Linked DNA regions of Caenorhabditis elegans. The protein of the gene in region 3 interacts with the protein of the main gene of each other region in a pairwise test. Each region holds a gene or a part of one and is shown on either strand. Other genes may lie near its edges.

Evidence for each region.
Region 1: the proteins of ubql-1 (region 3) and lin-2 interact in a two-hybrid assay, tested with the Caenorhabditis elegans proteins (2 studies listed by BioGRID).
Region 2: the proteins of ubql-1 (region 3) and itsn-1 interact in a two-hybrid assay, tested with the Caenorhabditis elegans proteins (3 studies listed by BioGRID).

What each region holds. Positions count from the first base shown.
Region 1 is NC_003284.9:12,410,633-12,416,709, forward strand, and holds the start of lin-2 (Protein lin-2), read right to left. Parts: upstream 3,410-6,077; 5' UTR 3,394-3,409; coding exon 3,320-3,393; intron 3,269-3,319; coding exon 3,156-3,268; intron 2,354-3,155; coding exon 2,170-2,353; intron 881-2,169; coding exon 785-880; intron 738-784; coding exon 655-737; intron 607-654; coding exon 431-606; intron 1-430. UniProt on the Caenorhabditis elegans protein: May play a structural role in the induction of the vulva. May be required for the localization of signal transduction molecules (such as let-23 receptor) to either the basal membrane domain or the cell junctions.
Region 2 is NC_003282.8:17,117,391-17,126,371, forward strand, and holds itsn-1 (Intersectin-1), read left to right. Parts: upstream 1-2,291; 5' UTR 2,292-2,293; coding exon 2,294-2,443; intron 2,444-2,494; coding exon 2,495-3,079; intron 3,080-3,562; coding exon 3,563-4,024; intron 4,025-4,171; coding exon 4,172-4,396; intron 4,397-4,436; coding exon 4,437-5,073; intron 5,074-5,854; coding exon 5,855-6,225; intron 6,226-6,811; coding exon 6,812-7,128; intron 7,129-8,028; coding exon 8,029-8,545; 3' UTR 8,546-8,879; downstream 8,880-8,981. Other genes in the region: uaf-2 (Splicing factor U2AF 35 kDa subunit), read right to left, coding at 675-1,009, 1,061-1,153.
Region 3 is NC_003279.8:7,019,494-7,028,627, forward strand, and holds the start of ubql-1 (Ubiquilin), read left to right. Parts: upstream 1-2,488; coding exon 2,489-2,581; intron 2,582-2,703; coding exon 2,704-2,809; intron 2,810-2,854; coding exon 2,855-3,162; intron 3,163-3,270; coding exon 3,271-3,399; intron 3,400-3,963; coding exon 3,964-4,207; intron 4,208-4,533; coding exon 4,534-4,673; intron 4,674-4,718; coding exon 4,719-4,802; intron 4,803-4,848; coding exon 4,849-4,961; intron 4,962-5,008; coding exon 5,009-5,074; intron 5,075-5,118; coding exon 5,119-5,179; coding exon of another isoform or gene 5,180-5,200; exon of another isoform or gene 5,201-5,230; intron 5,231-9,069; coding exon 9,070-9,134. Other genes in the region: pdi-3 (Protein disulfide-isomerase), read right to left, coding at 1,064-1,294. UniProt on the Caenorhabditis elegans protein: May play a role in the ER-associated protein degradation pathway (ERAD) possibly via its interaction with ER-localized proteins ubxn-4 and cdc-48.1 and/or cdc48.2, providing a link between the polyubiquitinated ERAD substrates and the proteasome.

The DNA.
Region 1 (6,077 bases), on a different chromosome or scaffold from region 3:
AAAAAATTGTGGATTTGTGAACCATAAATTAGACTATAATTTAGATATTGCTTTATAAAAGTATTTATAAAAGCTTGCTTTAATCAGAAACAGTTTTATAGCATATAAAAACCAACAGAAATTCTTGAACCATGTCATTTTTAAGCGCAATTATATAATAAGGACCCCCTACCTTTTTTTAAAAATTAATTACACACTTTTGAACCAGAAAATTTATGTGACTTATATTTTGCTGATACTCACAGAAATACCACGGGAGCAAAACCAGAAGGAATACGTTTTTCAAGTTTTATAGAATACTTATTCAGGATTCAGGTTTTCTAGGCCCATAAAAATGTTAATTGGTATGTAAAAAACTATGTTGTATCGATTTTTTTGCTTTTAACCGATTCTCTTGCGCAACCAGAAAAATTATTCGAAAAAACCTCACATCTACATCTGTTTGCATGATCCTTTCATAGATATCGGAAGTAGACCCGGAGAAAGGTAATCGTCCAGCTAGCAAGAGAAAAAGGACGACACCGGAAGACCAGATATCCGACGAGCATGACACTCGATCTTTTCGCACTATCTCTGGAGCCATGAATTGCGGTACACCTACTCGACCTTCAAATTCGAAATTATATGAATGCACATTTGAAAAACGAGTCATACCACAAGCCATTGAACCACCAATTTCAGACAAATCTTTTGCAACTCCAAATCCACACAGTTTCAGTGGAGCTGAAGTATCTTTTCTGAAAGTTCACATTGAACTGTTGTTTTTCTATATTAATTAACTTACGACGCTAATACTAAATTGTGAGGCCGTACATCTCTATGAACAATTTTCCTAGTGTGACAGTAATCTAGAGCATCTAGGAGCTGCCGTGTATAGTGACTGAAAAATTTATGCTAATTATTTTTACACACACACGGCGTGTAAATTGGTACCTCTGGCCTAGAAAAAAGCTTGAAAAACAAATGTACGCAATTATGAAAATGCGCGTGGTGTTTGCGGACTTGACTACCGTAGTCCACATAAATTTTAGCAATTAATACTTCCCGGTTTCGTTTTATATGAAAATATCCTTGAATTCAAGCAAAAAATGCATTATCTTTTTGGAAAAGAATAAAAGAAACACTAAAATTACATTAAATTCAAATACAAAAAAAAGTGAACTACGCAGAAAACGAAACAAGGCAGTTTGAAGAACTGCATTAATGAACAGCAATTTTAAGTGTAAACTTGTGATGGTGGGTATACATTTTATGTACTTAAATTGTTCAAAAACCTTCATTTAGTCAATTGGTGAAGTTTCAAAACCTTTGTGAATCTAGTTTTTGAAAAAATTTCAAATTGGTGCCAATTTCACTGATTTTTTGTGAATTTCCGAGCTAAAATTGAAAAATTCAATGTGAACTTGTGACGGTGGGTATGGTTTTTATGCACATAATTTGTTTGAAATGCTCTACCGAGTAAACTGGTGAAGTTTCAAAAACTTTGTGGGCATAGTTTTTGAAAAAAGTTCAAAAATGTGCCATTTTTGTCGAATTTTAGTGGTTTTCGGAGCTAAAATAGAAAAATTCAATAGGAACTTGTGACGGTGGGTATGAATTTTTTGCACACAATTTGATTAAAGTAGTCTACTGAGTAATCTGGTGAAATTTCAGAAAATTTGTGGATCTAGTTTTTGAAAAAAGTTCAAAAATGTGCCATTTTTGTCGAATTTTAGTGGTTTTCGGAGCTAAAATAGAAAAATTCAATAGGAACTTGTGACGGTGGGTATGAATTTTTTGCACACAATTTGATTAAAGTAGTCTACTGAGTAATCTGGTGAAATTTCAGAAAATTTGTGGATCTAGTTTTTGAAAAAAGTTCAAAAATGTGCCATTTTTGTCGAATTTTCCTAATAATTGCCTAATAAATCGAATTTCCACTTTTATTTAGGAAAATAATCGTTGTTATATGTGATTTATCCATTTTAAAAACAATTTTGTATATATTTTTGCAGTTTTATCCATTATAATGTCTCATTCATCGAATTTCAATGATATTAAAAATTTAAATTCAAATTTCGCGCGCTTTGCAGCGGCCATGGCCTAGGATTCTCACTTTTCACTTTTCGCTAGGCCAGATGTCCCAATTTACACGCCGTGACACACAGTCTATATTGTAAAAATACAAACCTTACTACATATTCAGAAAATACGAATCCATTACTTGCTCTTTGAACTATTTCAAAACAAATATCATTTCCCTCCATGTTCTCAAAAATGATATGTCGATAATGAACGCTGTTGATAGTTTTTTCCAGTCGGCATATGTAAGGGTGCTGTAGATTTTGGCATATTCTAATTTCCTCGTCGATTTCTGAAAAAGAGATGGTTTGGAATGAAATAATTATATTTAGATCGGATTCGGTAAAATGATCAAAGTTCGAAATGACACATGATGGCTGATAGATTGATTGATGAATTGGGATTGGAGCTGCTGAGCTCATGAGATGAGAACTTTGAGGACATTTTGTGCGCTTCTGATTGGAAAACTGGTGGCGAGAATAATAATATCCGCTGCGGGGACTTTTTTTTTCTCAATTTTTAAAAGTGCACTCAGGTTGTTTTTTGAGAAATTTTTTATTCTTCAAAATCCACAATAAAGGTCAAAACATAACTTTAAAAAAAAAGTGTATTAACCACCTGAATTTGTTCAATTCGAAAAAAAACATCAAAAACTAATAATTCAGTCTTTTGTGAGACAGTGTGTTGAAACGATGACTTCCTGTTTTTAAAATGTTGAAACTTTTCTTTAACGGTCTCAATGGTATTTGGATGAAAACCAATGAAATTGGATATTTTTATTCTAATTAACTTTTTTTTAACTGCATTTGAGCCTCCTTTCGAAAGATATTAGTTCATCACTAGATCGATTAACATTACAAAAACCTATCAATTTTTGTAAAGACAAAAAACCAAAATTAAAAAAAGACTTTATCAAAATGGGAGAAAACTATTTTTGATACTTGTATAGTAGAGCAACTACAGCTACTACAAAAGTACACTGCTTCAACTTTTGAATTGAACAAATCATTTTAGTAGGTGCGTAGAATTTTTTTGGAATACGACTACTACATGTAGTCGTACCCCATGTAACAACTGTATAACAATAATTGTACCTTCAAATCCTAACCCGGTGTGCTGTCTGAACAAATTCAAATTGATTGATCTCAGTAAAAATTTTCGATTTGATGGTCCATGAAGTATTCGGTATACATTTGAAAATGGACCTCTGGAAATTCTTAGTTATTTCAAGAATTAACTGAATTTTCAAAAATCTTACTGTTCTATCACATCCCGGATCGACAGTTGTTCATCGAGGAGAAGGTTCGACTCGTCCGGGTCAAGCTCCCTCATTCTGTTTTAGCTGAAAAATGCTGATAAACGTGAATAAACAAATGATAAAGTTGAAGAAAAAAAAGAGATAACCAGAAAAAAACTCATAGGGACAGTGAATGATTATTAAATTGAAAAAGCATATCAGGCTCGCATGAATATTGAAATAGAGAGACTGGAGAGAAAATGGCAGTTTTTTGGGTCGGCGGCGGGGGGGGGGGGGGGGGCTCTACGCGTTTTCTTTCGGCCAATTTGATTTGATCGTTAGGAGGAGATATAATGTCAATAAATGATTGCAAGAGAGATTCATGTTTTATCAACCCCGCAACATTCTTTCGAGAACTAAAAAATTGAGGATTTGAGGTGGTACTTGTCTGATGGAAAATCTCATGTTGCGGTCTTATAAAAAGAGGTAAGCATTACGTCATTAATTTTAATGAACTTGAGTGCGTGGGGGACGGAAATCGTTAAACTTAGGATTTTTTCTTGTTTATAACATAATATTTTCTGCAAAATGCAAAATCAAACCATCCAATCTTAAATTATTGAAGCAGAACAACTATGTGAAAGAAAGTTTGATTGCGGCATGGCAGAGGAAATCAAGACAAATATGGACACTTTTCATCTTTTCCACCTCTAGTTTCCTATTGAAACGCGGCTGTATTTGTCATTTAGCAAACATTCCTGAATTTGCCGGAATAGTATCGTGTTTATTCAAAGTTGGCGGGTTAGCCAGATGTATTTGTAACAAAAACAGTAAACAGATTTGAAATCTTTTCAAAACACTAAACTTTAAGTTTGAGAGATGCTGAAAAAAAATTATTTGATATGAAAATCGTAATGTAATGTAATAGAAGCAATTACGTGCATGGGTTTTACTACGATCAATTACATAGAGAAACCTACATTTTGATTTTCCTACGTTCTCAAATGACTTGGGATCTAATTCTAATGCTCAAAACAATAACTCCTTTAAGGCTAACAAAGCCATTTTTTAAAGTTTTTTTTTTCAAACAATTTCGGTTTGCATCTTTTTCTGCATACTCTTTTTATTTCCGTTTCATACGTCTACTTAAAACTTTTTGAAAAATTCATTTCCATTTGGTGCAATAACTTCAACCAAAAAGTGTAACTATTCAAAAAATAATCGAGATTTATTTCAAGGAAATAACATTGAGCACAATAATTTCATAAAACTACCATTTTGTGCAGAGCTATACCAAAAACATGCTGAAAATATGTTTACTGTTAAGGTTACTACTAGTCTCAAATTTTTGACATATATATATATACTTTTATAATTTTTTTTTAGTTTGTCAGTTTATTTTAATCTGTATACACTAAACTCTTACACAATTTAAGTATTTCGCATTTTGTCACTACATATATTCCAGTTCACATTGAAGTTATTTGGAAGTTATTGCTTCTGAAATGCCCAATATATGTATACTCTGATTATACCATGGTTATTTTTTGTTTTTAATGGAACTTTTAAATTACTTATAAACTTTTATGTAATGGTTTTTACGTTTTTGTTTCAAAAACAATTTTAAATTGAAAAAAAAACTGAGTAGACAAAATTGAAACACCAACTATACATCCCAGTCTTAAACAACTATCAAAAACCGCGAAATATTAGCTTTGTGAAAAATTGGGATGCAAAAATGTTCAATTATTAGTCTCTCCATCGAATATTCAACAAATAAGGTGTTAGCAAAATAATGGGAAATAAGAAGAAAAAACAAATTTAATTAAAGAAGAAGACATAAATAACTACATAAAAAGGAAGGGATGAAGGAAAGATATTACATTTTTCTTTTTTTTTTCTTGGATTTGTAAGATATGACAAAATCTCAAAGCAGAAAGAAAAAACGAATAAATATGAAAAAAAAGAAAATATGAAGTTTTTTTTGACACCGGAAAAAAACTGGATGAAAGAGGCTCGACAAAGAGTAGAAAGTGGATGTTATCTCTCCCAGTCTCCAGAGATACACAGTTTTATGAGTGTCGGTTGGGTGAGTTTGCAAGATAAACACGATGAACACCTGTTTCTATGATGCACGGACGATGCAAAACAATTCATTGGATGATACAGCTCCGTCTTGATGGAGTCGATGGAAAGTGAGAGGAAGAAGAAAGAATTGTGGAAGAGCACCAATTTTTTGGCTTCCGGTAAGTTGTTGGCATTTTTTGTTACAATTTTAGGGGCTGATTTTTTTTGAAAATGAACTTTTTTGTTTTCTAGGTGAAAAGAGGAAAGTGAAAGATTACTTTCTCAAATCCGGCTTCATTTCTAATTCCTGGGATCTTACTTAAATGAATAAAACTAAATGAAACTAGAGTATTTGGAAATAAAGCCTTGAGGTAAAAAAGAGTATGCTCAGTTGAACTTTTTAAACTTTCCTTGGTGATTATTTCTTAAATTTATTTTTCAAAATTATTTATAGCTGTTTGAAAATTCGAAAAATTGCCTAATGTCATCAAAAATCCTCAACTATGGTTTTTTTTTCGTGTCACAACGAATTATTATTATTTGCATATTTTAGTTGGTGATTTTACTTTATTTTGTTAGATAAAATACATACAGCTGAAAAGTGACTAACATTGCAAAAATTGAAAAAAAAAGTTACTACTGGAACACTATTTGGAATTTTAATTTGTAGGAGGCTCTATTGGAAATTTTGTCAAAAAATACTTTTAGAAAA
Region 2 (8,981 bases), on a different chromosome or scaffold from region 3:
TTTCCAGCTAAATCAGGAAAAAGACGGAAAAATCACGATTTCTGGACAAAAAATATACTTTTTTGCCCCAGAATTTGTGTTTTTTCATCATTTTCGCTGATTCTTGGTGCAAATTTCCAGCTAATTTAGCAAAAAAACATGGAAAATCAAGATTTCTGGGCAAAAAATAAAAATTTTGAGCCGCTCCGCTCACCATCTGCGTCGCGGTCCATTTTACAGAGGTGGCCGAGAGGGAACCTCGGCCATGACCGCGACGCAACTGGCATGCGGAGCGGCTCAAAAAAATTTATATTTTGCCCCAGATTTAGTGATTTTTCCATCATTTTTGCAGTTGACATGAAAAAAGATGGAAAATCACGATTTCTGGTCAAAAAATTAAATGTTTTGAGCCGCCCCGCTCGCCAGCTGCGTCGCGGTCCATTTTAACGAAATGGCCGACGGGAGCGGCTCAGAATTTGTGATTTCTCATCATTTTCGCAGATTTCTTGCACAAATTTCCAGCTAAATTAGCAAAAATGATACGGGCTAGCTCGCCAAAGTGCTCAGATGGCCCCTGTGCCAGGTATATCTCCATTTCAATGCCCTTCCGATGGGCAAAGTACAGTGGCACGTTCTCTTCACAGCACTTGAGCTCAGCTTGAGCCCTATCAACACAGCAGCTTCAGCTTACGCACCATCGATTATTCAAATCATTCTTTGCTTTCTCGGCGTCCTCTTCCTTCATAAATTTGACGTATACGTTTCCGACCATGTGTTCTCCGATATTCTCACAAACGTTGATCTCCTCCACTTCTCCATATTTTCGCTCCATCTCCACAAAAACCTCCTCGTAGAAATCGTCAAAATAGCGCTGTTCCTGATCATTCCGCTTGCCGACTTTATCGAAAGCATCCGCCTGACGGACATCCACTACCGGATTGTGGTAGAAGTTTTTGAGCACAACTGTTGGCGAGAATGTCGGTGTATGATGGGCTCTGGAGCATTTGTCTCCGTGGCGGCAGGCTCCTGTCTGCAAAAATTATTTAATTATTGAATTTTTTCACAGAAATCCACAACAAACCTTGAAGAAAAACGAGCAATTGACTTTATCCTTCTCAGTACCATAGATTGAGGCCAGGTACTCGGCTCCGGAGAGCCCGTCACCATACGACATTGGGATTCACTAAAAAAAATGATTTTTGACGAAAAATTCAATTTCAGCGGGAAAACCCTGAGAATTACGATTTTTAAACACAAATTCTGACGGAAATACTTCAGAATACAACGTAAAACTCAAAATATCAAGAATTCAATGCAAAAAACAAACTGCGAACCTGAAACAGATAGAAAATGGAAATAATAACCAACTGCCCTGCTAAATTCGAAAACGCAACGAGGCACGCTTTTGTGGGCGGGGCGAGCGTCGGCAAGGTGAGCGCGCGCGTTTTTCTAGCGTTTTCTCTATTTTTCTTTTTTTCTCCCATGACCAGAGATTAATAAATAAGTTGAAATTTAAGTGAATTTCTCTTCAATTTTCCGCGATTATACCGATTAATTCATGCACCAAGGCTGAAAGAACATTTAAAAATCAATTGGAGCTCAAAATTATTTGGAGAAAACTCAAGAATACGAGATTTTTCACTCTAAAACTAAAATTTGTTCTTAAAATGCAAAGTTTTAAATGAAAAAAAAAACATTGATTTTTTTAAATATATAAAAAAGGGGTTTTTGATTCCTTTAAAATTCTCTGCGTCTCTTGCATCTCTCGCCGCGCGCTCTCGGGGACCACTCCTCTTTTGGGGCACGCAAAAATCGATAAGCTTTCGGCGGCGCTTGGCCTCTTTCTTATTTCTTCTTATTTCTCAGTTCCTGAATCCAAATTTACAGAAATTTCGGCGCATTTTCTCTTTTTGTTGCGAAATTCGCATTTTTAGCGTTTTTAATCGAAAAACCCCCAATTGACAAATCCGTGGGAAGTTTACATAGAAATTTCCAGCTAAATTAGGGAAAAATCACGAATTTTAGCCAAAAAATTACATTTTATTGAGCCGCCTCGCTCGCCGGCCGCGCCGCGCCGCGGCCAATTTTTACAGAAATGGCCGAGAGGGAACCTAGGCCACGGCCACGACCGCGACGCAGCTGGCGAGCGGAGCGGCTCAAAAAAATCTATTGTTTGCCCAAAAACATGTGTTTTTTCATCATTTTCGCTGATTCTTCGCATAAATTTCCAGTTAAATTAGAAAAATATGGCTCGTTTTTTCCCTTTTTTGTTGCGAAATTCCCATTTTTTGTCGAAAAATCCCCTGTTCTCCAGATGACAAATCCTTGGGAAGTTTCCGATGCCGAATATCAGAAGAATTTCGCAATGTTCGGCCAATTAACCGGAGGACAACCGTTTATGGATGCGGTCACTGCACGAAATGCACTAATGCGCAGCAATCTGCCAACGCAAGTGCTTTCTCAGGTTGATATTAAACTTTAAAAAAAAAAATGTTTTTATTCAAACAATTTCCAGATCTGGGCGCTGTCAGACTTGGATAAAGACGGCCGGCTCGATATTCGTGAATACTCTATCGCGATGCGACTTGCTCTGAATTGTCTTGCCGGAATTCCGATTCCTCCGCAACTTCCGCCTTCCCTGCTGGTAGTTCCCGCCAGAAATGCTCCACCAACCTGGCCTGGAAGCCGGCATGGCAGTGTAGACTACTCACAAACTCTTCCACCGGCCATTGATCGTCGAATGTCGCAGTCATACATCCCATCTGCACCGGTTTCGATTGCCGGAACTCCATCTAGCAGACACAACTCGATTTCAGCTGGAAGCCCTTTGAATAATGATCGCAATGTCTTCGAAGGCCGGCAGCTGGAAAACTGGGCGATTCCTCACCACAATAAATTAAAATATTCTCAATTGTTTAATGCTCTCGACAAGGAACGTCTGGGCTCCCTGAGCTCACAAGTCGGACGGAGTGCTCTCGGGCTTTCAGGCCTTCCTACCAATGTTCTCGCGCATATCTGGTTTTTGTCAGATGTGAATAAGGATGGAAAGCTATCAGTGGATGAGTATGCGATTTCTCAGTATATGATTGAAATGTTCAAAGTATGTGTTTTGTTACCGGCCAGAAGCTCTTTATTCAAAAATTGCACTTTTTCCATGAAAATCCAACTTTTCTGATCTAAAATTGATATAAAAATGTAGAAAAAGGTTCTTTCCATCTGAAAATATTGTATTTTTCATGTTTTTTCAACAAAAATAAGGAATATTTTCAATTTTATTTGTCAAAAACTTGGAATTTCAAAATAAAAAGTCAAGCCACGTGGACGCTCCTCCCACTTTGCAACATGCGGCGCGAGTTTTCGCAACACTGCCGCACGGTTGTATTTTCTTCACGAATTATAGTTTTTCAGTGAATTTTACAGGATTTTTCAACGTTTTGCTTGTTTTTTTCAGCAAAATTTCATGTTAAAACGCTGAAAAATCTCAAAATTTCAAATTTTTCTGTACGAAAATCGGAAAATACCCTAAAATCATGAAACACCATAAAAATTTCCGCTGAAAAACTTAAAAAAATTTTTTTTTCAGAGTGGATTCGCGCTTCCAAAAATAACCCCGCTGGAACTTGTCCGGATGTGCGGAATCTCATCAAGATCAGCCAACAATACCCCTGAACTCGAACCAGGAGCGGAGCCACCACAAAAGTCACCAGCTCCGAAAACTTTTGAAGATAAGCGACAGGATAACCTATCTAAAGGTCAGGCAGAACTGGAGAGACGACGTAGAGTTCTTGAAGAAGAGGAGCAACGAAGACGAGCAGAAGTAGAGAAGAAAGAGAGAGAAGAAGAAGCGAAGAAAAATAGAGAAAGACAAGAAAAGGAACGACAGGCTGAAGTTGAGCGGCAAGCTGAACTAGAAAGACAGAGAATAATTGAAGCTCAACGGGAGGAAGAGGAGAAGAAGCGGAGGCTAGAGATGGAGAGACGCAGAGAGGAGGACGAGAAAATGAGAAAAGTTCAAATGGAGAAGGCGAAAGTTAAACAGATGCAGGTACAGATGCCTGAACAGAAAAAATGGAATTTTTATGTGGATTCTAGGCGATTTTTTGAGTTTTTCTTTTGAAAATTGAACTTTTGGAACACAGAAATTTTATTTACTCATGATAAAAAAAAACCAAATTTAAATCCCTAATTTCAGAACCAGAAGCAACAAGAGAACGAGCGTCTTGCACAACGTCAGCAACGAGAAAAAACGCTGCAATTTCAATTACAAGCACTTGATGAGAAGGTTATCGATGTTGAAGTGGACATTGGAAAAGCCAAAGAAGCAGTAGCAGAAGTGACTGGATTTATTGAGAGAATGAGATCTACGAGAGACGAGAAAGTCGCGAGAATTAAAGAATTACAAGAGACTAATCAGAAGGTAATACGCGTTTAATCTATATGCAAATTACCCAAAAAAGTTCCAGACAGCTATCGAATCTCAAGAACTCGGCCATCAGCTTCTACAAAAACAGTCGGCTCACAAGGAGACAACGCAGAGAAAAAGTGAACTAGAAGCACTGCGAAGGAAACGAGATGCTATTCGAAAAGCTATAGAAGATGCCGCTCTGGAATTATCCACAGAAAAAGAGAAATCGTATAATCAGACGGAGATTTTAAAGACGAATAAGGAAAAGTATAAGACTGATGTTTATTCGAAACTTGTCGCAAAACGAGAAGAATATCGAAATTCGTTTGAGCTTCTGGTTCATGCTCAGACACATGCCAGGAGCAAAATTGGGGAATTTGAAGCGAAATCTGCTCCAGCTTCAGCTGCTCCAGCTCCTGCTCCTGCTCCAGCTCCTACTACCACCAACGGATTCCCTGCAAACTTCAACGATGCATTCGGAGAATTCGATAAAACCGATGCAAGTCAACGTTTCGACGCGGATTTCGGTGCCACGTCGACAGCGGATCCATTTGCTCAGATTGCTCAGGCGCCAGCTCATTCGAAGGGTGCTGTTGATCAATCGGCGTTCAATATTCATGACACTTATAAGTGTCGAGCTCTTTTTGCGTTTGAAGCAAGATCCGAGGATGAGCTCAGTTTTGAACCAGGTGCTGTCCGAACAGCAATATGTCCCTTTAAATGGCCTTTTGTTGTGTAGATTTACGAGCTTCTCCGGAAAAAGCTCGAAATTTCGGAATTCGTAGGAGAAAAAGTTTGGCATAAAATTCAGGAATTTTTAAATTTTTCCAAAAAAAAATCTGAAAAATTGCAAAATTCCACTAAAATCAAGGAATTTATCTAAAATTTTTAAGAGTTTTTCCAGAAAAAAAGCCAAAAAAAAAGAAAATTTCAATTTTTTTATTCTTATCTCTCATTTAAAATGACTTATTTAATATTTTTGAAATAGTTGCATGGAAAACAAATTAAATGCATAAAAGATGTGAAAAATTTCAGAAAATTTGAATTTTTTCGAAAAAAAAAACTGAAAAATTGCAAAATTCCACTAAAATCAAGGAATTTTACTCAAAAATTCTCAAACTGAGCTGAAAATGATTCCAAAAATTTTGAAATTTGTAGGAGAAAACGTCCAAAATTCAGGAATTTTTAAATTTTTACGAAAAATTATTGGAAAAAAGAACTATTTTTCCGCAGTTTTTTCAAAAAAATTTTGAAATTTTTCAAAAAGTTTGGATTTTTTCGTTTTTGGCAACAAAAAAAACCATCACTAATCAATGTTTACCTAAAAACCCCGTTTTTGTGAAAAAAAAACCCTTTTTTTCCCAAAAAATACCAATTTTTGTCAGAAAAAACTTAACAAAAAGTGTCATTTTTGACAAAAAAAAGGCAAAAATTCGAGAAAAAGTTAATTTTTATTTATTTTTCTTCTAGGAGACGTCATAATCGTCTTCCAATCCCATGCAGCTGAACCAGGATGGCGTGCCGGTCAACTTCGTGAGAAAGTCGGATGGTTCCCAGAAGCATTCGTCGAAGCAATCGCAGCAGTACCTACTCCAGGCGGTGATCCACCTATTCAGAATATGCCACCAAACATGACGCCGAGCTCATCAGTAGATCAAATTGGAGTGAAAGCGGCGCGGAAAGCGGAAATCGCAGCGGCAATGGGATTGACAGAAGGTGGTGCTCCACCTGCTTCAAGTGCTCCAGCAGCAGCAGCAGTAATATCTCAATGTATTGCACAATTCCAATGGAGAGCACGTAATGAGGAGGATTTGTCATTTGCAAAAGGAGATACAATTGAGGTGGAGAGCATTTTGCTGCGAAAAATCCAAAAATTGTCTGAAATTCTTGAGCTTGAACCTGAAAAAAATGAGATTTTACAAGTTTTCCGGCAGAAAATTTGAAAAATTTGAAGTTTTAAGCCAATTCTTAGGAGTTTTCAGCCTATTTTCCTGCAAAAACAGCTTGAAAATGTGATTTTGACGAATTTTTGAAAAAAAAATTGGATTTTCGGTGAAAAAATCGATTTTTAATCTATCTTTCAGCTAAATTGTATGATTTATAAAATAACCTTTTTTCCCAAAAAAAACCATTTTCCCCATAATAACTCTTTTTTCTAAAAAAAAACCTGTTTTCTACCAAAAAAAAACCCATTTTTATCAACAAAGGAACCCAAATTTTCAACAAAAAAAACCTTTTTTACCCCAAAAAAACCTATTTTTCAGCAAAAAAATGAGCGTGGTTTCTGGGGAATTTTTCCAAAAATTTGAAAAAAAATTTAGGATTTTATTCCCATTTCTTCTTTTCACGATTTTTCTTGAATTTCAGACTATTTTTTTTAGATTTTTGAAGGTACACCTTAACTCGAACTAATAACATTAATTTCAGGTACTAGAAAAGCAAGAAATGAAATGGAAAGGTCGAAATCCTGCCGGCGAAATTGGATGGTTCCCGAAAAGTTATGTGAAAGAAGTCGGAGCAACCACCAGCACCACGACTCCGATTGTGTCTCCTTCGAAGGCTTCTGCAGGAGCTCCAGGAGCAGCAGCAGGAGCTCAATACGACGTGGTACCTTCCGATGTGACATTACAAGCCTCCGAAACAGCCCCCCAACAACAACTTTACACTGTGATCTACGATTTTGAAGCTGTCGAGACAACAGATTTGGCACTGCATGTCGGTGACACAATTCTAGTGCTCGAGAAGTAAGTGGAGAGAGGAGCTCTCGCTGCTCTTGACAGGAGCTCATTTGGAATTGAATTTTTTCATTTTTTTGATAGCTTTTCGTATTCTTGCGCTATTATTATTATGCTTAAACGAAAGGTTTCGGGGTATCAATTTATTACATTTTGAACCAAATAAGCCCAAAATTTTTAAAATAATTGTTTCCAATTTTGCAAGGAAAACCCTATTTTTGGCAAAGTAACCTCAAAAAACTATTTCTTGTCCAAAAAAACCTTTTTTTTTTCAAAAAAGTCTAATTTTTGTCAGAAAAAAATCCAAAAATGTGTCGTTTTGCCAAAAACACCAAAAAAATTCCATTTTTGCAACAAAAACAGCTAAAAAATACATTTTTCCCCAGAAAAAAAATCATAAAACTCAGTTTTGCCAAAAAAAAAAACCAAACACGCGTCATGTTTACCAATAAAACTTTTTTTGTTTTAAACCGATTTTTTCAGAAAAAATCCAAAAGTGTCATTTTTAACATTAAAAAAACCTAAAAAGCTATTTTTTCAAAAAAGGCACAATTTTTCTTACTTTTGCCAAAAATGTGTCATTTTCGTCAAAAAAAACCCTGAAAAAAAAACAATTTCCAAAAAACACAATTTTTACCGAAAAAAAATTAAATTTAAAAACCAAAAAAAGCATATTTTCTCAAAAAAATTAATTTCTCCACAAAATTAAAAAAAAGCCCGACAAAATCCAATTTTTGCAAAAAAAAACCGAAATACTCTTTTTTTTCCAAAAAAACTTCATATTAAAAAAAACCCCAAAAACCCAAAAAACTTGTTTTTTAGCCAAAAAAAAATTACTTAAAAACTGAAAAACTGACACCAAAACAAAAATATCAATTTTCAGTGATTTAAATCAAAAAATAATTTCAGAAACGATGAATGGTGGAAAGGGCGTTGCAACGGACGTGAGGGTATCTTCCCAGCCAACTATGTCGAGATATCAGTCCAGCAGGCAGGGGATCCGACTCCACCAACTCAAGCTCCAACTCCAGCGGCTCCACCAACCGTCCTCTGTGAAGCTAAAGTTGTCGTGGATTTTGTTGCATCGGCGCCAAATCAATTGGGAATCAAAGTTGGCGAAATTGTGAAAATTCGTGAAAAATCAGCAGCCGGCTGGTGGGAAGGCGAGCTGATTCGAAATGGAAAACCAATCGCCGGATGGTTTCCTGGAGAATATGTAAAAGTTTTGGAAGAAGCCGCTTCTCCTGCCACTCGAGCCACTGCAGTATACGATTATGAAGCTTCTCAGCCAGATGAGCTGGGATTCAAGACTGGAGATGTTATAATTGTCACTGATAAATCTGAAGCTGAATGGTGGAGTGGACATCGAGAACAAGATCCTTCGAAATCTGGACTTTTCCCATCGAATTATGTTCAGCAGCAATAATTATTTTTAATTTTAGTGTTTTTTGTCGAATTTGCATAATTTTTTATTTATTTTCCATGTACCATAGATTGCCTATTTCACTTGAGTATTCTCCCGCATAATTTATTGATTTCTTGATTCATTGCTCGACACGTGGTGTCAGAGTGTCCCATATTGGTTTGATCTATCTAGAGATCTACGAGAATCGCGCGGGAATTTGAATTTTTTTGACGGCAAAAAATTCCCGCAAAAAACAAATTTTTTTGTAGATCAAACAGTTATGGGACAGCCTGACACTCTATTTAATGCATCCACTTGATTTTTTGAAACTAAACTTAATAAATATTAGTAGAAATAACAATTTTATGGATTAAAACAATCTGTAAAAAATGAAGCGAGATAGGAAAATTAATAAAAAGGGAGAAAAAACCTAAAGGAAAATATAGGCAGGATGTAG
Region 3 (9,134 bases):
TTTCACGGGAACGGGATGTCCCGTTGTCCCGTTTTTTGGGTGTTTTCGCGGGAACGGGACATCCCACTGTCCCGTTTTTGTAATTTTTACGGGACACTGACACCCTTGGTGACCATCCCTAACTACTTGTTTTCTAACGATAACATGCGTTGCTAATTTTAGAATCACGAAATTACAACGAAGTCGGTCAAATGAAGTTTTATGGCCTCTTTTCATTGAAAAAACTCCGGAAAATGTGTCAGAGCCGTACAACGCAAGGAGGTGGATCTTATATTTTCTCGAAAACTTGAGCGTGACGCCCATTTTTCTGGGTCTTTGCGGCAAGCTCCGCCTTTTTTCGGATAACACTGGGAAAGAGATTTCGAGAATTTTACAAAGATACACGTGAAAAGAAGAGGAATTGTTTGCCAAAAGGAACACCGTAAAATGTTTAATTGAAAAAGTCTGTCAATTACTGCTTCAAAAATTTCAAACATATACTATTCTCTATGGCAATGCACATGTGATAGATCGTTTTCGAGATAATATTGAATTTACTGTTTCAAAACTGAGAATTCTTAAAGGGGGGCTGGATTCCTATTACTAAACCGTGGTTCAAATCTTTGTTTCTTTTTTTTTACAATCTTCAACTTCAAAAACATAATCTTTTGTTTCATTTACTACCATATCGCACTCGTTTGTGGTATAGATAAAACTGTTTGCTACGCGACTGGTGTTTTTGCTCTTATCGTTAATTGATGTCCGTATTCTGTAGAGTAAAGACCTGACAACAAACAGTGATTTGATGCGTGGGAAAATGTAAATGTCGAGCCGATCTCATTGTCAATGGCCTTTTGAATACACAATAACCATTTTGGACCAGCATACATAATATATATGACGGACAAATGTTTCTATATGCATAAGGACTAGAACAATAAATTCAAAGAATCCTTTGTATGCATTTCATATATTTCTATTCAATGTGGCTTTCGTTGCTGTTTTATCAGCTTTCGCGTATTTGTCAGTGTCACTGCGATCGATATATGAGCGATGGCTGTGTAAATAAGTATGGTTATCTTACCTTGACGAGAGCGACTGGTGGATCGTTAGATGCGAGTTTTGGGGCAGCTCTCTCATACTCTGGGGCAATTTTCTTGCAGTGTCCGCACCAGGGAGCGTAGAACTTGACAAGAGCAATGTCGTGGGTTTGGATGAGATCATCGAAGTTTCCGTCGGTATACTCGAGAACGGCTCCTCCAGCACTGGCGAACGCCAGGAAGGAGGCGACCAAAGCTGCCTGGACCCAAATCATTACCTAAAAACTTTACCTATAAACGACAATCGATCGAGTGAGTTTAGAGGGCGAGAGATTATCGGGAACACCGACAAAAAGTTAAAAACTAAGAAACAAGATTAGAGGTTTTCAGATTATTCAGAAATATTTTCTAGAAATTGAGCGAACGATTGAAGAGAAGGGAAGGTGTTTTCGCAATTAACAAACCGCGATCGCATCGAAAACGTGAGCCGCTTGACGCGAAACGTGTTTTCGTGGCGAGATACCGCGAGCGGTAAAATCAATGCGCCTTTACTTTATTTATTTTTTTTTCGCATTTATTTTCATTCTTTTCTGTGAATCACATGTGAATGGACAAATACAGATTGTTTCGGGTTCAATTTTAAGTATTTACAAACACTTTTCAAAAATTATCTTTAATAAGTGGAAAATACAGTTAGTAAATAACTATAAATTTTAAGCTTAGAAGAAGAAAGCCAAAAAACATGTGTTGTATGGAGGAGAAATTTTATATAGACTCGGGGAGCGTTATATCACTTTTAATGATATTATTACTAATAATCCAGAAAATGCAGAGCAGAAGCATAAAAATAGACCCGAATTGTTAAGGTCCACGTGGCGCTCGTGTGTACACCAGGGATTGGTAGGAACTGAGCCAAAAACACGTCGTTCACTGCCTGTCGCACGCGTGTTGTGTGCCGATTGGCCTCATTCTTGTGAGAACTCCGCCCAATGGGTCTCGCACGGAAGAGGCGACCATCATGTGTCGATTTACGCAACTACCGCATCATTTTATTGATCATTGTTTTTTATTCATTTTATGACCTGATATAGAAGGAATCGACGTTAAATTGGAAGGCAAATTGATTGGAGCGCCATTTAGAACTTTAATTTCTTATTTTTATTGTAAATTTGAATCGATAAAAGGAACAAAAAGATCACCATGGAAACCAAATTAGTCATCACGTGCATATTGAAGCTCGCGCGTCAGGAAGAATTGTGTCTTCGTTTATCTTCGTTTATTTTCTATCGAAGAGACCCATTACATTATTACATTATTCGGTCTGAAATAGTTGCGAAATTTCTTTTTGCGCTTCGAGAATATTCTCGATTTATCGATGCAACGTGTTCTTTTCCGTCTCCGCCTCTCATTCTCTCAATCCTTTTTCTTTATTTAATTTTGTCGGTTTTTTAATATTTCTCAAATTTAAGATGGCTACAGAGAGTGCACTCATCAAAGTTCACGTGAAATCACCGTCGAACAAGTATGACGTTGAGATTGCTGCGGATGCATCAGTTTCAGAAGTATGTTATATTTTATTTAAAAAATAAAATTTTGCTCTTGAGAATTAGATAAAAATTCAAGTGATTATTCCATTTTGATAAATTAAATGTGTAAATCACAGTGTTTAATTAATATTTTACAGCTAAAAGACAAGGTTCTTGTGTTCGTTCCAACTGCGAACAAAGAACAAGTTTGTATAATTTACACCGGAAAAATTCTGAAGGATGAAGAAACTCTCACACAGCACAGTAAGTTGAAAAATGTGTTCCAAAAAATAATAAACAAAAATTTAGAAATCGCTGATGGTCACACCGTCCACTTGGTTATTAGAAATCAAGCCCGTCCAACACCAGCGCCGGCTGCTGCAACACCAACAGCTTCATCTGCACCAAGTTCCAATCCAACACCTTCTTCACAACCGAATCCTACCAATAATCCATTTGCAGCAATGGGAGGAATGGGATCACCTGCTGATATTTTAAACAATCCAGATGCTATGCGTTCAGTTATGGATAATCCAATTACACAACAACTTCTAGGAAATCCAGAGTTTATGAGAACAATTATTCAATCCAACCCACAATTCCAAGCATTGATTGAGGTTCGAGTTTTTCCTGGATATTTGTTTTGTAAATTTTCGGATTCGAAAAATTATTTAATTTTTTAATCTTCCACATTTCTCTCGTATATCGACAATAAATATTTTCAGAGAAATCCAGAAGTTGGACACATTCTCAACGATCCGAATGTAATGCGTCAAACTATGGAGATGATTCGTAATCCAAATATGTTCCAAGAAATGATGCGGAATCATGATCAAGCTATTAGGAATCTTCAGGTACATTATATATAGCTATGCTGATCAAGGGATGCCATTTTTCAATTTTTCAATGTTTTCAGCGAAAATCGAAACATCGAAGAAAAAAAGTCCAGAAAATTATCAATAAAATTTGATTTTTATCAAGTTGTGTGACACACAACTTGTGTCATATATGTTGGTGACAAAAAACATACGAAGACATTTTAATGTTATCTAACAATTGTCTAAAAAAAAGAAAAATTACCAAAATTTAATACCATTTTTTAAAAATTGAAAAAGTCGGTTTTTTCTCTCTAAAATCGAAAAACGAAAAATTCTGATTTTTCAGTTTTAGTTTTAAAAAATCGATCAAGGATGCCGATCTAAATGTCTAAATATGACTATTAAAAGTAATTAATTGTTATTTTAATTGATATGGCAAAAAATTGCTAATTTTTTTTTAATATCAGGGGTACATTTCTGGAAACTATATATTCCATCCCAGCCGCGCTACAGGGGTTTTTGTCTTGAATTCCAATTTCAACAGATTTTCCTTTTTTTCGGTTGGATTTGTTATTTTATGTTGAAACATTCAATTTTCAGGGAATTCCCGGAGGAGAAGCTGCTCTTGAACGGTTGTACAATGATGTACAGGAGCCCTTGCTCAATAGTGCAACAAATTCGCTCAGTGGAAATCCATTTGCTTCTCTAAGAGGTGATCAGAGCAGTGAGCCACGTGTCGATCGTGCTGGACAAGAAAATAATGAAGCTCTGCCAAATCCATGGGCTTCAAACGCCAATCAAGCTACCAATAATCAATCGAATAATCGTTCTGCTGACTTTAATTGTAAGTTTTTCTGAGTCAAATTTCTCTAAGTAAAAAAAAATCTTACATTAAAATCATATAATAATCAATGACGAGTGGCAAATGCCAAATATCAATTTGCCGAAAAAATTAAAAAATTGTAAATGTGAAAAAAGATTTTCAGCAATGTATTTTTGAACATTTTCCTTAAAAAATTTCCAACAAAAATTTCAAAACGACAAATTTCCAATTCGCCCAATTTTACGTCTGCCGCCCACCATTTATTATAATTTTAAACAAAATATTTAAACGTCACGAATATCCTCATAGTTTAGTGATCCGTTAATAATGTTTTAATTCATATTCAGCATTGCTTGATTCACCTGGCATCAGCTCCCTAATGGAGCAGATGATGTCCAATCCAAGTATGCAGGCCAGTATGTTCAGCCCAGAAGTCATCAATTCAATTCGTCAAAATATGTCAAACAATCCTGGACTCATTGATTCCGTTAGTTTCATTTTTAAAAAATTTAAAATAATTATGTAAGTTCAGATTGTTGGACAAATTCCATCGGCTCGTGATAACCCACAGATTTCCGAAGGAATTCGTAGAAGTTTTCCACAAATGCTCAACATGGTTTATTTTCTAAATTTTTACAAAAATTTATATTTCAAAATTTCAGATGTCTGATCCATCTGTGATGGAGGCAATGAGAAACCCACGGGTCAGTGAAGCATTCCGTCAAATTCAAGAGGGATTTTCAACTCTTCGCAGAGAAGCACCTCAACTTTTGAAGTATTTGAAAATACCATTTAGTCAAAAACTATTTAAAATTATTTTAGCCTTTTCCAAGCTGGAGCAATGGGAGGTGGAGCATTCGGTTCTGATGCCAATGCATCTTCTGCTGGGTTCGTTGATAGTTTTTATAGCTGATAGTTTTTTCTCATTTCAGAGCAAACTCTGCAAACGGACTTGCCGATTTATTCAATTCAATGAATATGGGAGGAGGAAGAGTGAGTATATTGAATATTTGATTTCTTATGTCACTTCTTATGGGAGCAGAGGTGATTATTTTCAAGTTCGGCCTTCTCGAATTGTCTAGAAAAAAAAATATTCAGAGTGAAATAACGAGATAATAAGATTTTATGAACTGAAAAAGAGAAAATTTCTATTTAAAAAGCTAAAAAAAAAGCATTACTACTGTAGAAATCAGTTTTTCTTATTTTTTATTCATTGCAAAATTTGAAAACTCGACAATAGCCTATTTTTGGATTGTGAATTTATCGAAGTGGTAAAATTTTTTTAATCGGCAATTGCCAAAACTTTCTATTGTCTGTATGATAGTTATTGAAACATCATGGGTTCAAAGAACTTTTTCAGCTAATTGAACTATTTTAAGCTTTCCTTTCTAATTCAATCGACAGATCGATTTAGAATAATATCACCGAATCCAATAATTTCCCATAGTATAGTTTTTTTTATACTTCCCTCTCGATTCCGTGGTCTTTTGAATTTTCCAAATTGAAATGAAAATTTGGATGATTAGTTGAAGCCTCACATCAAATGAAGTTCCCCCTTCATTTCATATATCAAAGTTTTTGCTCAAATTTAGAAGCTGATGAGTTGCGCCGAGTCGCCGTTTGCTCTGTGACAGCGACGGAAGTGCGCGAGCAAGAAAGAAGAAGTCATCGTGTGTCTGTTCTGAATAATGTAACAAGACGATGCTCCGTCTTCTGCTTCTTCTGTGCCGTCGTCGCTGAGCAGAAGCAAAAGTCGGCTCGTTTGACATGCTATGGATAAATGTTAGATAATGAGTATAAAGTGACGAAGACGATGGCAAACTGATGACAGCGTGCACGATCGAAAATCTTTTCCTGTTTGCTCAGAAAATGCAATTATCATATCGAATTTCATTTAGACCCCGGTGGCGTATCTAAAATTGTTTCGAAATTCTGATGTCTCGGCCCTTTCTACAGACAGAATATACTCTTAGAAAAGAGAAGTGTGGGAGATTTATCATGAGTTCCCCCAGTGAAAGAGGAAGGCCCCTCATTTCCTTGTCTTTTAATTTTTGATGATTGTTAGACGAAACAATTTGAATTGGAAACAAAAGCAATAATTTCTGCATTTTTCGTTTTCATCACTTGACATAGGAAGTGTGAAAGGCGGGCATCTTATCCATACGAATAGATCAGATTTTTTAATTTTCGTCGACGTTGCACTACTGGACCGAATGCTCTCGCATCACACAACACATTGTTGGCACATACATGTTATATGTCATTTTACATTTTCGATTAATTTTGTTCAATACCAAAACGTGGATGAGTGTGTGTATGTATGTGCATTGCCCACATAAAATGATATTAGTAGGCGCACATAAAAACGTTGATCGACAAAGGCTCGTCTCTTCACATAAATATTACACATTTCACAGCAAAAAAAACTATGTTCAATAATCAGATCTTTTTTGGGATGAGAGGGCAACACAAAAGCTGAAAGGAAACTTTCTTATCACAGAACCTTCAATTTTAGTAGATGTGATCTTCACTACATTAGGGGTTATTTGTACGCACAATGCCAAATTTTCGGAAAGTTGAGCTTTTTGTAAAGTTTAGAGCATTATTCCATGTTCGACACCCTAAAATGTTTTAATACAAAAAATTAAATTATAATACTTGAATAATTGCCTATTTTCGGTCGAATTCCAAAATTAAAATAGGTGGTATCTAGGTAGTTGCCAATTTCGACTGCAAATTAGGAAACTTGATTTTTCGAGAAGTTTTACTACGATATCTGATCTATATTTCTTTTTTCTTCGGCCCCTTTAATAAGCAAATCAGTGTTGCTCTTTTTGCTTCCCGCAATTGTTAGGAGCACATGTTTTGTGGCATATTTAGGATGCGCGACGACGTATTTGCACACACACACACACACACATTCCACGGATCGGATGTCACTATAATCTCATCTTGTAAGCGGTTACGCTGCTATCAAATTTATCCCGTATGTTTCAAGCAATTGGCCACAACATTTGTTCTCCCCCTTTTTGTTATAACTGCTGCTGCAGCTTTTGTCTCATTAGATGATTGTTTTGACGACATTTGCATAGATCATAGTAAACGATGTGTCTCCAGGAATATTGTGTAATGGAATAGTGCGCGAGGTTGGTGCGCATGATGAGAGCAGATAGGAAAAAGGACGGCGACGTTCCCCTTTTATTCATTCAACAATTGTCTAATCGGCGATTGTGTGGAACACGCGCCGTGCCATACACGTATTTCATTTCATAAAGAGGCAGCTGGCGAACATCTTCCGGTCTTCTCGTTTCCCGCCTTTTTTGTTAAGATGAGCCGATGCAAATGATATTCGAAGTGATTAGTAGTGGAGTCTATTAGGAGCCGACGTCCGAAACGATGGGATGATCTGTTCAGTGGCAAAACACTTAGTGTCTTTTGAATAGGCATTCGATTGGTTTTCTTGTTCTTACAATAGACAGATGGCTGGTTGCATGGGAAACAGTTCTTTCGAACACCTGTATCAAACCTGTGATATAGTTATTTTATAGTAGAACATCGCTTCTCTTGCTCAGATCATATTGAAACCTTGATTTTTGCATTAAGGATAAACAATAAATTCAAATATCTAAAATTGTTTCTCCTTTAAAGTAGTTCCCTTAAAATTACGATAGCTAAATCCGAAACATAGTCCAATCATTTCTTCTCATTAATTAGTATGTTGATGGAATTGTAGGGACATGTGTAGAGAGTGGAGGACACGTTGTATCACTTAATGCATGTTGTCGAACTCGTCAAAGTATGGTGTAATGCATAAATCGAATGAACGGAAAGATGCGGTAGTGCTGGTCACAATAGGAAGAAGAACAAGAGGGGTCCCATGCAAAAACACATATGACGCGTCGATTCGTCCAACTGCTCCTCTTCCTGTCTCTGTTATTATTGAGAACAACACACTCATAGATATAAATGCACAGATACTCGTTGTTCGCGCACTCATTTGTTTCGAAACATGACAAGCAAAATGCGTTTTTAGAAGATAAACATCGTAGCACTGACTCGTAATATGTAATGAACAATTAAGAAGCAGCTCTACGCATGCTATGTGCATTTCCCTCATGTTTTCAAAATTGCCTATTCTCAGAGGAAATGTTAATTTGTGTCTGTGTGGGTATGTATGTGCATCATTTCAATCAAGTGCTCCGCTCTCCTATAGACCATATTTTTTGTTTCTTGGGAATAGATTTTGGAATGATTGCCTTCCAAATACAAAGATGGATGGATTTGGAATTGAGCCTCTAGCACAACAATAATTGAGTTTTCAAAGTTTTCATGTGACCACTAAAGTTTTAAAAACGAAACCCAATACTTTTTTAGGAGATTCCCCAGAAGCTATAAATTAAAAGAAGTCTAAAATAATCTAAAATTCATATAATCAATTTTGACATTTTCTCAATTACTGTAAGACTCCTAAGTTCATATGATCCCTTGTGGAGGCAATGTCAAAACCGATATATGTGCGTGTCAAATCTTCAATATTGAGACAGCCGCATCGCTCTGAGTGATTAGTGCTAGTAACCGAAATATGAAGAAGCGGTGTGATGTCTCTTTATCTCCTGCTCTCCCTCAGGTGTTGAGATGATGGTGGTAGTGGTAGCCAACTGTTGCTCTTCGCAAAGCGCTGAGCTCTTTTGTTGTGAATACACGTCGCAATCATCAAATGACACATTAATCATATCTTGGAGAATGAGTCGGTCGATAAAAGAGAGAAATGTACCTTCGATCAAATCGCAACTCTTTTAGTTCCTCCCAGCTCCCAGACCGCTGATCGGCGACTATGATTGATTGATTAACCCACAAATGACACTAACGTGAGAAATTTTCAGCCCTCATCGACTGCTGCACCAGTGAATCCGGAGCAAACCTATGCATCACAACTCGAACAACTTCA